Schizosaccharomyces pombe: one gene and its partners. The protein of the gene in region 3 interacts with the protein of the main gene of each other region in a biochemical or structural test. Each region holds a gene or a part of one and is shown on either strand. Other genes may lie near its edges.

Region 1 (6,631 bases), on a different chromosome or scaffold from region 3:
CCTAGGAGATGCATCTGGTCAACCATTCTTCCTTCATCGATTACTGAATAAAATGCTCGTTGATAAAACAGGTCGTGAAATTTTGAAAGATAAACCTAGAATGACATCGAAGTCTTTAAACTTACCATTTTTGCGGACCCTTCCGCCAAATACCCTAGGTAAAATTTATGTTGACTGGATAGACAAAGAGCATGTTGGACCCGATACTCGAAGCCCTACCCGTTTTGTAGATGACCCAGAGGAGGCATATGTTATGCAAAGATATCGTGAATCTCACGATTTTTACCATGCTATATGTAACATGCCTACAAACATTGAAGGAGAATTAGCTATTAAATGGTATAGATATACTTTACTTTATTTCTAACTTCATGGTTTGTATACTAACAATTTAGGCTGGAATTTGTTAACATGGGTTTACCAGTTGGAGCTCTCTCTGCTTTATTTGGTCCTCTACGCTTAAATTGTGAACAGGCTTCAAGGTTTCGTCGGGTATACATTCCATGGTCGATTCGTAATGGTTTGAATGCAAAAACATTGATCAATGTCTATTGGGAAAAGGAACTGACGAACGACATTGAGGACGTCCGTAGACGAATACGAATTGAGGCTGCTCCTCCGCTGGTTTAGACCTGTAATTCAAATTTCTTCCATTTACTCAATCGAAATATTCGAAAAGAACTGCATATAAATAGTTAATTAATAATGTTTATATATGTAGCAGTTTAACTCTTGCAAAACATATCCATGCTGTTACTCCCAAATCTAATACTAAATAAGAATACTATTAATCCACTAAAACCCAAACTCTAACCTAGATATAATTATTTTAAGCCTAAATTCCACGAAAAACTGTTAATGAAATTAAACAGTCAAGTATTTTAACGACGACCCTTTTTAGCTAGTCTTTTTTGTGCGCGCAAATCCTTTTTCATTCGACTGTCAACCATTTTATACTTTCCTTTAACACCCTTAGGACGAGATTTAAGGCCTTTATTAGGACCCTTTGCAACAACTAACGTAGGCTTTGCTTTAGGCTTCGATTTAGTAGCACGGCTTACGAGTCGCGATATTTCTTTAGCTTTTTCACTTTCAGTCATATCACCGCTTTCTGAAATTCCTTCAGCTTTTTTAGCGACACGTTGCAGACGCTTAATAGTACGCATCTTTTTACGACCTTGTGCCTCAAGAACTTTTTTGATAGGACGAGCATTAAGAGCCTTCATTTTTTCCCGCAAAGCCAAAACGGCTTCTTTGGTGATTGGCTTGTTGGGTTTATTGACGGTTGTTTCTTCATCCAAAAACCAATCTGGAAGACCTTCTTTAGATTGAAACGACCATCGATTATAACCTTCATCAATCAAATCAGCCTTAGACTTTCTCCTAGAAGCAATATCCTGAGCTAGTGTCATTGCCTCGGCAGTAACAATTTCAACGTTGTTTTCATCATTATCAGAATCAGAATTCCAATCATCATCTTCATCATGAGCTGAAGCAACTGGAACGACTTCAATATGATCATTGCTGTCCTCACTTTGGTCTCCCTTGCTTCCATCGTCATTATTTTGAGAAGCAAGTTCAGCTTCACGTTTCTTTATAGCAGCGCGGTTCATAGACATGATTTCCACATCAGCATCGGCATCTTCAATACCATCAAAAATGTCCTGGTCAAAAAACATACGTGCTTTTCTACTAAGCCCATCCTTAGTCGAACCTTTGTCTAACAAAGACGTTGTCAGTCTGTCTTTATCAGGAGTAGCAAAGTTCGTCTCAGCAATCTGAGAATCATCGCTTTCGGTGCCATTATCTATACCGTTCCATTCTTCATCATCAAGATCGCCACGCGCTTTTTTAACGCGATATTTCACATCAGATTCAGCCTTGCGTTTAGTATAATCAGAATACATTGAATCCAAGTCAGCCTCTAAGCGATCGCGCTCATCGTCACTATCGTATTCGACTTCATTGTCCGTAGAAACTTCTTCGTCAACAGATTCAGTTACGGGAAGCGTTCCATTTTCCAATTCTTTTAAACCATGCTTTTCAGCGGTTGCTAGACCAAACAAACTGTCTTCGCCCATGGCTTCATGTTCCAAGCCAATATCCATTGGGGCCAACATTCCCATTTGCATACGAACAATTTCACGCTGTTTACGCTGATTCGCTTTCCGACGCTCACGTTTGAGTTTAACACGTTCGGCTTCACTCAAATCTTGTAATTCTTGATCCAGTCTCTCTTCTTCATCCATTTCAGGAATCTCCTCAACCACTGTTTTTTGCTCATCCTCTACCTTTTTACCTATACCCATCTCATCTCTTATTTTCAGTCGCCATCTCAAAATATCGCGGAATTCTTTTTTACCTAATACTTGTAAATCTGAGCAACACAAAAGAATTTCTTCAGTAGTGACGTCTAAATTGTATAAGCGTTGACATTCCTCATCATCTTTTGGGAATACAATTTCAGCGGATGTACCAAGGATTTGAATGGGATCATTTGCGGTAACAAATTCCGATGCCAAGACAGTTTTGTGTAATGTGTAATCATCGTCAGCGTAACCCTCACGACTACGTTTTCTTTTTTCAGGATGGAACACTTTTGCATCAACGTTTGTAACTGGCTCTTGGACTTCTTCGAAAACGGTACGAGGATCTGTAAAGCGAGGATCTAACTTTTTTGGTGCTTTGTACCCACGACATACGACAAAAATTTCTGCAGAGACGTTACGAGAAGATGGAGGTTTAGTAGCCTCAACTTTATTAAAAAGTTGTTTGAATACCCATAAAAGATTATTATAATCCCTTGAACGAAAAACTTTTGTAACAAATGTACCACCAGCAACCAAAAATTCACATGCTAATTTCATTGACATTAGCACCAACTGAGCTTGTCCATAGGCGTCCTGCAACCATGCAGAACCAACATTTGGTGCACCATCATGAAGAACACTGCTCAATGCATTAATAAAAATTCGACAAAAACCAATATGGGCAACAAATATTCTAATCAGTTCAATCAAATTTCTAAGATTGCAAGTGAAACAAGAATAGTTGCACCCGTTTAACCGCTTCCTGCAGCATATCAATTACTTACACATCAGCTTTCCAAGTTTTCAAATATCCACGCAATTGCGATCTGCATTTATCACTTGTAATATCCTCAACAAACGTATGGCAATTAGGAATGGGTTTAATAGGAGCAAGATCAACACCAACGATTAATGAGCCAGGTTTGCATGTTTTAGAAGCAACCTGTAACCAACCACCTGGACTGTTTTGACGGTCAGTGTAAAAGGATTTTGAATAATAACTATACAACTTACGCAGCACAAAGATCAATGATGACTTTAGCTTTTTCAAGGAAACTATATTTCTGATTCAATTGCACTAATTTAAAAGCAGCACGAGAACGATACCCTAAACGTTAAAAAGTGTTCATTGTAGCTATTAATAAATACCTTGTTCTTTGGCAAGCTTATACCATTTATCCAAACGGCCTTTGGCCGTCTTTTTTTGTGATTTACCCATGTGGTTTTATCGGTGCAAAAATTGGTGAAAGGCAAAAGGCAACTGGCAAATAGCGTACAGTACACTACAACATAGACTAAAGAAAAGATACTGTCAAAGCACTTAAAATTAAAAATCTTGTTTATTTTTGAATAAGATAAAAAAATATTAAACAGTATGAAATAAGATTGGAGAAAATTGCTTTTGAATATGTTAATACTACAATATTTTAATGCTCAGTTAAAAAAATTACGAATTATTTCATTATATTCATACATTAATAGTAAGTATATTAAAAAATATTGTAGAGTAACGAGAGACAAATTATAGAAAAGTAGGTAGTTTAGAACCTTCATCAGACGAAAAGTGTAGCCCATTTAAATTGTTTTTTAACTTCTTTGAGATATCACTACTGGAAAGTGAAAAAGAAGATAGTTGTTTACATAAACTTTGATCTTCACTTGCAGAGGAAGATTCACTACACGTTTCCCAATCATGGTTTTCCAAAAACCTGTCAACCTTTTCCACATTAGACTGAGTCGGTGTATCATCAAGTGAATTAGTAAATTCACCTTTGGGAGGAGTACGTGATAACAATGGCTCTATCATTTGACGAAGCGACACAGAAGCAGGAGTCGTCGAACTTCCAGTAAGCTTGACAGAGTTATGAGGTGTGTCGTGCTGCGAAGGAAGTATCTCCTTTATATCAGTGACCGGAATCGACGAAGATGAAGCATCGGGAGACAAACACGGCTCTCTGGGACCATGCCGAGAGCCTTTCCTCCTAGGGGAAAGTGTATTACTTTTAGAATGATTCTTGAATAAGCAACCACTAGATGTTTCCCTTACTAATCTCTTACTTTTCGAAACACTTCGAGTATCAGGACTTTGGTTAACCATTCTATCAATTAACGGCTCTTCATGAGAGGCTAGCCTAAGAGGAAAACGAATGCTTTTTTTGCTTTGGACATCAATGTTTCTTAACTTTTTATTTTCGATCTTACCTGTGGTTTTCCGCGCAGGTGGCGATGACTCTGGTGAAGATTTGCTATTGTCATTAGAGGAAATATTCTCTTGATTCTGCAAAATTGGTGGAGAATGTATCATTAATAATCTTGAAGACAATGGTTTTCCAAAGACATAAATTTTCTTTTCGTTATCCTCCTCCCACTCCCTTAATGCGCATATTAATTTAGCTTTCAGTAATTGAAAATCCTTTTGCAAGCGCTTTAAAGTGAAAGGCTGCGAAGCTGATCCAGACAATACCTTCATTCTTTGAGATTCTTTATAAACCCTAGACTCTAAGAGAAGATACCGCCTAATCATGTTGTTCAATTCCCCTTGAAGATGGAGATCAACTTCTAGGTTCCCAATTTCTTGTTTCATACTTTGAATTAATTCTCGATTAACGTTAGGTATTTCTTTAAATTGAGATGTAAACAACATTTCTTTTTTAGAAACGAACATTATGCGAGCCAGTGAAAGGTACCTTTTTTGTAAAAACTCGTATTCAGTTTTATACTTAACAAAGTACACTTTTCGCATGGACGAAAGTTCATTTTCCCACTATATTGTTAGTTTGAAAATAATTATTTTAATAAAAATATCAAATTCTTACCAAAGTCAAGGTTTTATCACTATAGTTGGTCGGTAACTCAGAAGTCGGGTTTTTACCACACATATTTTTCATTTCGTTGACAATTTCATCGACCCGGGACTTCCTGCTTTCTAAAGAAAATCTGAGCTTCTCCTTGTAAATTATCAAATGCTTTATTCCGTTTTTGGACAAATCATCAGCGGGCATGCTAAGTTTTATAGACAAAGAATCCTGCAGTTTTTTTAATTCCTCTTTAATTTCAATGTTTTTTTCTTTCCTAAGTCTGTATATCTGATGAAGTTCATTTAATTTTGCTGACAACTGCTCAAGCTTTATATCCGATATGTCCTCAAAATCACCGTTCACAAAATTCACCTCATCAACTGATTCACCAAGGATTACAGATAACCTTTCAATTTCTTTGTACATATTTTTTGCTTCATTTTTCTTCGTGTTATAGATTGCTCGAATACCATTATGGTAAGTTACCAGGCATTCATATTGGTCAATTAGAGTGCGCGGTATTTCGATTTCTTCGATGATGCCCAGTCTTTTTCTTAAAAGAGATATCTCAGAAGATAATTCATTGCATTTTGACTCAATATTTATAATTTTGATCTCCAATTTTCTTTGGTGTCCTGACAAAGCGTCCAAGATGATATTGTTAAAACTGATCTTTGTAAACGAATACCCAAGTTTTTCGGAAAGTGTATAAATATTATTGTAATAATTGTTAAGCCTGTCTCCAATTTTAGCTAACTCCATAATATCTTATGATTTTAACATTAAAAACAGAAGTTCGGCATCATGGCCTTGGAGAACTTGGTTTATTTACCTCTAAACTTAAGGATCGAAAGTGAGTCACAACACATTATGGATTGGGACAAGTTCATACTAGCAAGATTGTTTAATAAAGAAGTCATGTCTTTTTAAAAAAAAAATCTACATCGAACAGTATTTTGGCTAGTTTTAATTGCTAAACCTTTGTGTTGGCTTATTATAGTTAAAAAATGCTAATTAAAGGATATAAATAATACTTGAAAAATTTTATAACAAACAAGCAAATGGTATCCAAGGAATTCGTTAAGCGTAAATCTAACCTATGCTTCAGTAATTAATCAAGTAATAAAAAGGGTAATGCATAAAAAAATGTAAAAATGAATAATAAAAGTTTTGCAAAATGAAAAGTTATGATGTAAAAATAAAGTCCTTCTTTTCGCTTAAAAAGGTCGCTTCGGTTGTGAAATATCTGCAAATTGAGTAAAACAATCGACAGCTTAAATAGATCAGAAAGTACTATCATTAACGATTAACAAAAGCAAACTAACAACTGATTGAAAACGTGGTTCGCAAAAATAGCGAAAGCTTTACGAAAACAGGTTCACAACGGAGTGTTTCAAATGAAAAGACCTTAATGAAGTAATACCGAAATGCCATTTTTTAATAAATGTTGATAAGCTTAAAGATATTTCCCGTTAAAAAAAAGAGGACCCGATGTTGATTTCTCTAGTCAGTCATCGCGCCCTC
Region 2 (6,177 bases), 1.3 Mb from region 3:
ATTTTTGAAGATATAATGGACATGATAGATCGTGAAGCTGATGGAAGTGATTCTCTAGAGGGTTTCTCGCTTTTACATTCTATCGCTGGTGGAACGGGTTCTGGGCTGGGCTCTTTCTTGCTTGAGAGATTAAACGATCGTTATCCCAAGAAGATTATCCAAACTTATTCAGTATTCCCTAATAGTCAATCCGTATCAGATGTTGTGGTTCAGCCTTACAACAGTCTTCTTGCATTGAAGCGACTGACATTGAATGCTGATTCTGTTGTTGTGTTGGACAATGCAGCACTTGCTCATATTGCTGCTGATCGGTTACATACTCAGAACCCTACGTTTCATCAACAAAACCAATTGGTAATTGATTTATATTAGGTCTTTTCATCAACTAACTATTCTAGGTTTCAACTGTTATGTCTGCCAGTACAACAACTTTAAGATATCCTGGCTACATGAACAACGATCTTGTCAGTATAATAGCTTCATTAATTCCAAGTCCTCGCTGTCACTTTTTACTAACCTCATACACTCCTTTTACCAATCAGCAAGTGGAAGAAGCAAAGGCCATTCGGAAAACTACCGTGCTTGATGTGATGAGAAGGTTGTTGTTGCCTAAAAACCAGATGGTTTCCGTCAATCCTAGCAAAAAGAGTTGCTTTATTAGTATTTTGGATATCATTCAAGGAGAAGCAGATCCGGCGGACGTTCACAAATCCTTGCTTCGCATAAGAGAACGACGATACGCTTCATTCATTCCTTGGGGACCAGCAAGTATACAAGTTGCACTTTCTAAAAAGTCGCCCTATATAAAAACGAACCACCGTGTTAGTGGACTTATGCTTGCAAATCACACTAGTATTGCCTCTGTATGTTTCTGCAAATTTTTTTTTGAGACATTTAATACTAATCTTTGTAGTTATTCAAGAGAACACTAGATCAATATGATCGTTTGCGGAAACGAAATGCCTTTTTAGAGCAATATAAAAAGGAGGCTATTTTCGAAGATGATCTTAACGAATTCGATTCTTCTCGGTAAGTATCTTGTCTTATAATTTCATATTTTGAGTTAATTTACTAATGTATTTGACAGCGACGTCGTTGCCGACTTGATCAATGAATACGAAGCTTGTGAAGATCCCAATTATTTATCTCTTTAAAAAATCCTTCATAGTTTACGATGTCAAAGCAGACTTAAAATATAAAATTAATTCTCCTATCCTAGTCCTACTTCATAATCTATGAAATTCTGCTCAGCAAAGCATTTTTACGCCTTTCTAAAAGAATGGCTTCAACATCGTCTCTAGTTGGTATTTGCTCAATGACAAGAGGTTTCCAATCTTGTTCAACTTCATCACCAAGGTTCTCAAGATGTTTATGTTGTTGTTCTTCAATCTTTGCCTCAAAATCTTCTAATAGACTCTCTTGTGCTGGCGGTATGTAACCAAAGTACCAGGCGTCTAACCTTCTTTTCTGCATCTCCTGTTTGCGCTGTCTTTCCGGTATAAAACTCATATCAGCTTCAAAAAGTTCCTTAACGCCAGGTAACTCTCGAGCTCTTCCGTAATAACGATAATCGTCTATATCACTGATTTGTTCTCCTTCATCCTCAAATAGCTTTGCTTTATTATACAGATAATTAATCCCACCCAGATCACGAATTTGTACCTCCCATTCGTGTTTTTCACGCATCAATCGATTAATTGCATCGTTCAAATCTCGAATTTGATATTCAGGCAACGTTGCTATTCATGGTTAGAATACACAGAAATGATAAAAGCGGAATCAAGTTTAGCAAGTTAATTAAATTTGCTAATAAAACAATCTAGGACGTACCACTTTGAATTCGAGAGATCTTGCGAGAGATATCTTTTACTACACTAGCCCTATGTTTTTCACATATCGGCACAGACTTAATGCTTTTTATATCCTTGGGTCTCTTTTCCGTTGGTTTGCTGCCCACTACATACTATAACAAAGGGGTTAGTGACTGACGCTTAGGTTCTCATGCATATTCGTATGAACCTTACTTTCGCTGATGACATTGTAAAATTAAATGAAAATGATAGACTTGGTAATTAAAAAAATAGAGAAGGAAAGGCTCATTAAAATTTGACACAGAAAATAAATAATATAGACAAGTTTTATGGTATTTATCGAAATCAAGGCAAACCCAACACTTAATTAATTGACCTTCAACAGCCAATTCTTATTTAAGTACTTGAAAATTTGCTCAAGTTCCACCGATTGTGAAGACAAGCAAAAAACTTATAAGCAAGAAATTGAATGCATACAAGTAGTTATTTCGTGTAAGAAACACTTTATAAAACGGAAAAGAACAGCCAAAGTGAATAAGCTTATTGAAGCGCAACAAGCTTCTTAATTCATGGATAACGAAGTCCTCTTCTAAAAAAAGTACTAGTCTAAATAGTAACTAAGTATTTTATGTTCACTACAATTAAAGGATGATATTATTGCATAAATGGTCCCTTTCAAAATGATTACCACTTTTAATCCATCGTATTCAATATACTGTCAAGAATTAGGCAATTGTTGATGAAGTAGGTAACATCAATCATTTGGAAAAGTTCATTTCATCTCTTTGGTATCGGCTTTAACCTAAAAAAGAGTTGTTTATAAGAGATTAGCAGAACGATTTATAAGTATACAGTTGATTTTTTGAATATCTTACAAAGACTTAAAATTAAACAATCGTTGAGACCGTCAAAATCGTTAAAACTGACTTACGAATTATTCTAATAATCACTATATTCAATCAACGTAAATGGACAAGCATCGTTGTGGTAGATTTCCCCCTGAAAGATAGTAACCACCCTCCATTCTTCGCATTCTTTAGTTGAGGTATGTTAATTATATACTAAATGATTTACTGTTCTTTGATTTTGCTTATTCTTGCTCAATTATAGTTTGTTTTTAATAATTTGGCGACGGTAATCTCATATATAAAATCGATGAATTTCACATGAGTGAAGTAATAAAATCTGTACCCCCGGGCTCTCAAAACACTTCTCAGTGGATAATAAGTAAAGATCAGTTGGTATTTACTCCATCTGCATTAGATGGGATACCTTTAGATCAAGAAGAAATTCAAAGATCTAAAGGATGCAATTTCATTATAAATGTCGGGCTGAGATTAAAACTGTACGTTAATTACGATGTATCAGTTCAGTAAATTAATGAAACTAACAATAATAACAGACCTCAAACTGCGCTTGCTACTGCTAACATCTATTTCCATCGATTTTATCTTCGATTCTCACTCAAAAATTATCATTATTATGAAGTTGCTGCTACTTGCATTTTCTTGGCAACCAAGGTTGAGGATTCCGTTCGTAAACTTCGCGATATTGTAATTAACTGTGCAAAGGTTGCTCAAAAAAACAGCAATGTTTTGGTTGACGAGCAAACCAAAGAATACTGGCGGTGGAGAGATGTTATCTTGTACACAGAGGAAGTACTGTTAGAAGCTTTATGCTTTGACTTTACGGTTGAACATCCATATCCTTACGTCCTAAGTTTTATCAAAAAATTCGTGGCTGATGATAAAAATGTCACTAAGGTTGCTTGGACATACATTAACGATAGCACTAGAAGTATCGCATGTCTACTTTACTCTCCGAAAACTATAGCTGCTGCAGCATTCCAATTTGCATTAGAAAAGAACGAAATAAATCTCTCTACTACGACTGATGGGCTTCCGGTATGGATGGAAGAGTCTCAAGTTTCTTATGAAGACGTTAAAGGTATATTATATATTTTTTTATAGCCTTAGCACTAACAATGCAGGAGTGTTGACACTAATCGACTCGTTATACAAAAAGATAAACCCTTCCAAACAAGCCCTTCCAATCGACCAAAAAAACGGATCTCATGCTTCCAGCGTAGCTCCTGGGACACCGTCGTCATTGGCTTCCGTCTCGACACAAGCTACCCCTCAACATCAAAATTCATCAGGAAGAACTGACTCATTTCATTCCCTAAACACAGAAACCCCATCAAAAAGTACGGTGGACGACCAAATACTGTCGACAGCCGCCCAGCCAAAAAAATCATCTGATACAGATAAAGAGATGGAGACGGAAGCTTCATAAAAAAGAAAAATAATTCCAGATTGGAAATTTTATAAGTTATAAAAATTATTAATGCTATCAGCATCTTTATATTTATTTTTGGATTCGAATAAATCGATAACACGGTTTTAGAATATTGCTCGTAATAAAAGGCTTAAATTAAGTTCATGAGTATTTTTAAAAAGTAAATGCGTGAAAGAAATATTGCCGGAACTTAACAGTTTGACAACTTCATTGTTTGCTTATGAGTCAGAAACTCTACGAGGATTGTCGAGAATTCGAATGCTCCAGGGTTTTCTCTTTCTCCAAGCAATGAAACCATAGACAAAAATGTCCTTAAAAACTAATGCAGCAAAGGCACCAATAATGCTCTTCTCTAACTTTGTGAAATTCCCTGGAATAAACCTTCCCAAAAATTTCCCTGCTAATGGGAATAGTAGAATCGGTCGAACAATACGGAGAATTTTCGTAGTAAAAGCATCAAGGAAAACGTGTGCCACAGACAAAAGAATCCAAAATTCAGATTCTGTATCTTCTCTTTCGTTTACATCCTCGACTTGGTTACGATGCTCTACTTGTGCTTCAAACTGGCGAAACCAATCAGTTTCAGAATCTTCAAATTCCCCGTCCGCTCCAATTACAATACCGTCAAATATACGGGTCATTAGTTCCTTATATAAAGATCTTACCCAAGGCAGAGTGCACAGTAGAAGTGAGGTATTCGAAATCTTTTCCGCGCAACTATAAATTGAAAAATGCGTGTAGAGACTAAATGCTATATCATAAGGCGGAGCTTCGTAGAACCGAACCAACATGCATGGTAATAAAGGCAATACGACAGAGGAGAAAACTGGCTTTTTTAACATTTCTATCAGGCTGCTTTCATCTGCCACCTGTTTACATATCCATATTCCAGTCTGTTTGAATATTGAATAAATAAACTTGGTAATACCTAAACAAGAACCTACACCAAACGTTACTTGAGCTAGACCAGCTTCAAGGGAATGACCGATTCCAAGAACGTTTACAGCCCAAGACTTTTCCTTTGGCGGTTTAGCAATTCTATATGCGGTAAGACATTGAGGACAACGAGTACTGCCAGATCTGGTAATGTAAGAAATCAAACAACTTTCATGAGCAATGAGTGAACACCGACACGGACGTCTCCAAGAATCATTTGAAAGGGAGCATAGTTTTTTGTCGTATTCCTCATAGCATATCCAGCAGCGAGCACTGCTTTTCTCATACTTCGCGGTGTCCGTCATTTAGCAGAACCTCGGGGTTTTCCAATACAAAAAAGAAAATTTAGAATAAATAAAATAAACGCTTAACGTCAATGTTTCAAAACAAAATAGGTTTTAAAATATAGGCATTTTCCTGAACAAATTCTAACATAAAGATAGTTCAGTACTTTCTCATAAGTTTAGGAGCCTTAGTAATTAAAAAGATTGGGTATTGAAAGTAAAGTTGAAAGTGTGGAATGAACAATATAATTTAAATGATATGAGTAAAAAAGCTGTTTACAATTACTTGTGTAGCTTTTTTAATGCAAACGATTTTAGAATAAACTTCAAATCCCTAAAACTATCGTAAAGTAGTTCGTTTTGAGCGATTGGACGGATTCGTGGTGAAAGGTGGTTGAGTGGTTTCACGAGTGCTTGTCCTGCTACGAGTTGAGGGGTGCTGAGGAACGGAGGGCACATTACTGACTCGTGAAGGTGGACGAAGTCTAGAGGAAGTTTTAGAAATTATACTTTTTCTATTTGAAGAATTGAGACCATTATTAGGAATCGAACTTGCTACGGATGGCAAGTTGGATGTTGGTATAGTAGGAGCAGAGGAGGTGGCCGATTTTGGAATTGCGGATTGGCGATGACTTGCAAAAGATGAAGAAGGAGTCCTAAGTGAGTTTGGGTTAGAAGTCGTAGCCATGCTAACCCGAGAACGCACATTCATGGATGAAGACCTTGGGAACATGGGAAGGCCTAGAAGGTACATATGAAGATGCGGCTCTTCTTGCAGGTCGGACCTTTGGATCTTTAGACCTTAATAACCTTTGCTGCTGTTGTTTTTGAAGAGCTATAGCTTCCTC
Region 3 (5,115 bases):
CAAGTGTTTCACATTGTGGTAATTGGATTGCGTCTTTATCTCGCTCTGGGCATGTCTTAATTCGAAATTCTGAAACCCTCGAGCTTCACCATGTGTTCCTTCTAAACGCTCAATTCATTCAAAAGGTTGTATACTTGTTATGGAAACCCAATTTAGGAGCAGAAAAATGCCATCAAATTTGTGTTGCCTCAGTTGATAAAGTGTTTGTATTAGATATTGTACAACACGATTATTATGCTAGCATACAGTGCGACCAGGATCCTTTGAGTAGTATCAGCTGGAGCCCGTCTGGAGAACTGCTTCTCTGGTCGTCCTTTGATGTACGTTGTATCTAATAAAATTTGCACAACTTTTTGCTTATATATCTGCGATGCTAATAGCAAATTTTTTAGTCGAAGATTACTGTGTGGTCTTTAAATACCCAGAAAGGTTATTTGCTTCCACATGTAAAAACCAATGTTTCGAAAGGTATTTCTTGTCTGATATATCAATTTACTGACTGTTTAGTTTACGCTTTACATCCATCCATGCAATTCTGTACTATATTATCTCGTTTTAACGGTTCGGATTGCCTTCAATTTTACCAAATCAGCAAAAAGGCATGGATACTTCTTAAAGAGTGTAAGCTTCCTACAATAGATTCGACGGGTATCCATTGGTCGCCAGATGGAAACTGGTTAGCTGTTTTGGAAAACGTATTAGATGCAGTTGTTTATATTTATCATCGCACCGGTCTTCTTTTTCACGAATATCGACCAAATAGGTTAATTGAAGTCGGCTTTTCCGATTTTGAGTGGAGTCCCTTTGGCAAATATCTAACTTTGTGCAGTTACCATGATTCAACCTTACATCTACTTGAAACAAAAACTTTTAGTATAGTTTTTCGACTTCACCATTGTTTGCAATATACCAATACTGACTTGGAAATGCATATATGGGAAGAGAAGGAAACAATCTATGAGCAACAAATGACTTATCAAAAAGTACATAAACTCAGAACCGATTTCCCAGAACCCTCCTTTTGTTCAGCATCAAAAATACGTTTCAACTGTGATGAGACGTATGCTGCTACAATTACTTCTAAATATCCTAATGTTCTTTGGCTATGGAATTTACAGAATAAAAAACTGCACACTGTTCTTATTCAAAAACATCATATAGTGTATTTTGAATGGCATCCAGGTCGTCCCGATTTGGTGGTCATTCAAACAAAAATTAGGAAAGAATCCAAAATTCCGTCTAATGCTACATTCCTATACTTCTGGGCTTTAAGTTGGAATACACCCAGGGTCGTTGGAGTTCCAAAAAAAGGTTTTAATATTCAGAAGGTTCAATGGCTTCAACCATCAGAATTCAGTTCTCGTCCAGTTATAGTAATTTGTGGTGAAGATGCATATACCGTTGCTTACATTGTGGAAGATGAAGATGAATCATTTACCGAAGTTACTCAAACTATAATTTCTCAAGAAGTTTTAGATAATGAGTTAGAAACAACGCAAACGATTTCCATACCATCTTAAGGGATTTACTTTCTATCTTAAAAGTCTTAATTATTGTAACCATTTTTAAATATTCTTTTTATTTTACTAACGACCTAATTAATTCGCTTAATGTCTATAATATTTTAATGCACGTTCATTGTTCCCGCATGTAAAACATGAGCACCCTGAGCACCCCGTCAGCTTAAGGCCTTTGCATACCTCTTATAGTTTGAATGTCTTTTTCAGTCTATTCAACTATCTTTTTCTAAATTTAGTACGTACTATTCCTGAGTTTTAATAACTACTCTTTCCTGATTCATAAATTGTAAACTTTGCGCATTTATTTGAGATTAGGGAGTCCTTTGAAAGATATTTAAAACTAATGCAACTTTTTCCCTTTATAAAAAGCATTGTTTATTCTCTATACTTACAGTATTGTTTTCTCATTTTGAAACATAGCGCATTTTACTTCGCCTCCGTATTTAATGCATATAGTTGATAGTTGGGTCCACTTCCACTATATCCTCATCAGATGCAACATTTCGCGCATCGATCGGGTTTATACTACAATTTGTATAATTAACTTTATTCACTAATCGTTGGGATCTTTTGTATAATATAAGTTAAAAAAATGAAACGCTCAAGCAGCGTTTCTGTCGAAGATGAGAAATCAGCAAGGAGAAAATTAGATGTCGTACCCAAACTTCATTTTGTAGGGTGCAGCCATTTAACGGATTATCATTTAATGGAAAAATTAGGAGAAGGAACATTTGGGTATGTGTCAAATATCTGATTTTGAATTTTATCACTAACTTGGTTCACCAGCGAAGTTTACAAATCGCAGCGGCGTAAGGACGGGAAGGTATATGCGCTGAAAAGAATACTCATGCATACTGAAAAGGAAGGTGTAAGTAGATGTTTGTTTAGATTCTTGTTCATTTTGACAGAATGACTTGGGACGCATCGACTTGATTGCGTTAATTGTTTTAATTAATTCATGAATAAATACTAAAGCATTACATTTTAGTTTCCCATTACAGCCATTCGCGAAATAAAAATTTTAAAATCGATTAAACACGAGAATATTATTCCATTATCTGATATGACTGTTGTTCGTGCAGACAAGAAGCATCGACGTCGTGGTTCTATATATATGGTGACTCCTTATATGGATCATGACCTTTCAGGTTTATTAGAAAATCCAAGTGTAAAATTCACGGAGCCGCAAATTAAATGCTATATGAAGCAATTGTTTGCTGGAACCAAATACTTACATGATCAGCTTATCCTTCATAGAGATCTTAAAGCTGCTAATTTATTGATTGATAATCACGGGATTTTAAAAATTGCCGATTTTGGTCTCGCACGTGTGATAACGGAGGAGTCATATGCAAACAAAAATCCTGGCTTGCCTCCACCTAATCGTAGAGAATACACTGGATGTGTGGTTACACGCTGGTATAGATCACCAGAACTTTTGCTTGGCGAGCGTCGTTACACTACCGCTATTGATATGTGGAGCGTGGGATGCATCATGGCCGAAATGTATAAAGGAAGGCCAATCCTTCAAGGAAGTAGTGATTTGGACCAATTGGATAAAATCTTTCGCCTTTGTGGATCACCAACTCAAGCTACTATGCCAAATTGGGAAAAGCTTCCTGGGTGCGAAGGCGTTCGCTCTTTTCCTTCACACCCTAGAACACTTGAAACTGCATTTTTTACTTTCGGAAAGGAAATGACTTCTCTTTGCGGTGCTATTTTGACCCTTAATCCGGATGAACGTTTATCTGCTTCAATGGCTTTAGAGCATGAATATTTTACAACACCACCATATCCAGCAAACCCTTCTGAACTACAGAGCTACAGTGCTTCTCATGAGTACGACAAAAGAAGGAAAAGAGAACAGAGAGATGCTAATTCACATGCGTTTGAACAAACCGCTAATGGTAAGAGACAGTTCCGGTTCATGACTCGTGGACCTAGCGATCCGTGGTATGGAATTCGTCGGCCAAATTATAACTCACAACCGCAATACCAACGTGGTTCGTACAATCGTGAAGGCGGTAACATGGATAGAAGTCGTAATGTTAATTATCAGCCTAAGCGTCAGCAAAATTTTAAACCTTTAACGTCTGATTTGCCACAGAAAAATTCCGAATTTTCTGAAACTAACGCTATGAATCAAACTTCTAATCATTCTCATGCAGACGGTCAACGCTACTACCGGCCTGAACAAGACCGATCTCAACGATTAAGAAACCCCTCGGATTACGGCCGTCAAGGAAGACAATCTTCCCAGTCTCAACAACCAGCATGGAATGTGTCCTCCAGATACCAGAATAATAGCAAAGTACAAACGACATCTCGAGCAAGCGAAAATGCGGATACCAACAAAACACAACACAATATTAAGTACATTGACTCATATGTTCCTGAATACTCAATTGCTAGACAATCTGCCAACCAAAAGACCAACGAGCAACATCCATCTTCTACTAGCTTGCACCAACAATCCACATCTGATCTGAAGTCACCCTCTTTTCATGAAAATTCCAACGTTGATGACACTCCTAAATGATCCATACGAATGTGCTCTTTTTACTTTTTGGCTTTCTCTTCATATCTTAAATTAACTTAATTTGCTGAGCATCCCATAATATTTTTAATGGCCTTTCCGCGTGATGGCGACTGTTCATTAAAGGCCAAAGTTGGTTTTCTAGCTCAAAATAAAATTTAAAACAAAAAGGAAAAAGCAAAGAAAATTAATTATATTTCTTTTTTCTTTAAAAGCTTGACCTTAGCAAATTGAGCACGGAGATTTTTATTTGTATTATTTATTTACTAAATTTATAATCTTAAAACATGACTTGTAAGTAATGTATTGGAAAGAAAATTACTTTATTTTCAACAAAACTGCTTTTTTCCTTGCTTGTGTTTACATATTTACGGTATTTTCTTCCCTTCCCATACCCATGTTTTGACCTCGGTTAAATACCTCTTGTTTGTATACGGCTTGACCAGCCCTCTCCCACCTACCTACTACAAAACCCGTCATCCAAAAACAGAGTCAAAATAACACAAATACCATTAATAATTACCTAATAAATATAATAATCAGTACTCTAAAAATTATTAAATTGTTCAAATGGTTGAAAATCAAGGGAATGTCGAAGCACATGGTAAACCCAAAAAGGTCATACTTAGCCTTTCATTAAAGGAATCTTCAAAAATTAATGATTCTCAAAATGTTTCCAATGTGTCTTCTAAAGAAAAATGCGAAACTGAAGCATTGCTTCGTGAAGAGAATAAAGAAAACCTGAGTAGTGACAGTATACGACAAATGATATTTGGAGATGAAATGGCGGGCTTTGTGGATACTGGTGAAAAACCACCGTGTTCTTATGCTACATTAATCGGTTTGGCGATCCTACAATCACATAACAAGCAACTGACTTTAAGCGGGATTTATACGTGGATTCGCAACACGTTTCGCTACTACCTCAACCATGATGGTGGTTGGCAAAATAGCATTAGGCACAACCTTTCATTAAACAAAGCCTTTATCAAAGTAGAAAAACCCAAGGGTAAAACTTTAAAAGGTCATTATTGGACAATTGATCCTGACCATATGCAG

Evidence for each region.
Region 1: of the proteins of cdk9 (region 3) and spb1, one has a biochemical effect on the other in vitro, tested with the Schizosaccharomyces pombe proteins (one study listed by BioGRID).
Region 2: of the proteins of cdk9 (region 3) and pch1, one has a biochemical effect on the other in vitro, tested with the Schizosaccharomyces pombe proteins (one study listed by BioGRID).

Annotation. Positions count from the first base shown.
Region 1 is NC_003424.3:919,211-925,841, reverse strand, and holds spb1 (rRNA methyltransferase Spb1), read right to left. Parts: upstream 3,562-6,631; 5' UTR 3,529-3,561; coding exon 3,459-3,528; exon of another isoform or gene 3,418-3,458; coding exon 3,324-3,417; exon of another isoform or gene 3,272-3,323; coding exon 3,095-3,271; exon of another isoform or gene 2,950-3,094; coding exon 882-2,949; 3' UTR 709-881; downstream 1-708. Other genes in the region: ubiquinone biosynthesis protein Coq4, read left to right, coding at 1-339, 396-630; protein mcp1, read right to left, coding at 3,832-5,073, 5,126-5,869; irs4 (ENTH/VHS domain protein), read right to left, coding at 6,611-6,631. UniProt on the Schizosaccharomyces pombe protein: Required for proper assembly of pre-ribosomal particles during the biogenesis of the 60S ribosomal subunit.
Region 2 is NC_003423.3:2,791,989-2,798,165, forward strand, and holds pch1 (P-TEFB-associated cyclin T Pch1), read left to right. Parts: upstream 1-2,832; 5' UTR 2,833-2,856; intron 2,857-2,921; 5' UTR 2,922-2,977; coding exon 2,978-3,156; intron 3,157-3,213; coding exon 3,214-3,758; exon of another isoform or gene 3,759-3,801; coding exon 3,802-4,106; 3' UTR 4,107-4,327; coding exon of another isoform or gene 4,328-5,350; 3' UTR 5,351-5,469; downstream 5,470-6,177. Other genes in the region: gamma-tubulin Gtb1, read left to right, coding at 1-354, 399-863, 914-1,029, 1,088-1,154; protein Cwf12, read right to left, coding at 1,234-1,739, 1,831-1,963, 2,025-2,039; SPOM_SPBC32F12.07C (MARCH family ubiquitin-protein ligase E3), read right to left, coding at 4,328-5,350.
Region 3 is NC_003423.3:1,468,568-1,473,682, forward strand, and holds cdk9 (P-TEFb-associated cyclin-dependent protein kinase Cdk9), read left to right. Parts: upstream 1-2,000; 5' UTR 2,001-2,112; coding exon 2,113-2,255; exon of another isoform or gene 2,256-2,306; coding exon 2,307-2,388; exon of another isoform or gene 2,389-2,508; coding exon 2,509-4,059; 3' UTR 4,060-4,615; downstream 4,616-5,115. Other genes in the region: wdr8 (WD repeat-containing protein), read left to right, coding at 1-320, 393-468, 508-1,520; DNA-binding forkhead transcription factor, meiotic Mei4, read left to right, coding at 4,627-5,115. UniProt on the Schizosaccharomyces pombe protein: Component of the positive transcription elongation factor b (P-TEFb) which consists of cdk9 and pch1, and which phosphorylates the C-terminal domain (CTD) of RNA polymerase II and spt5.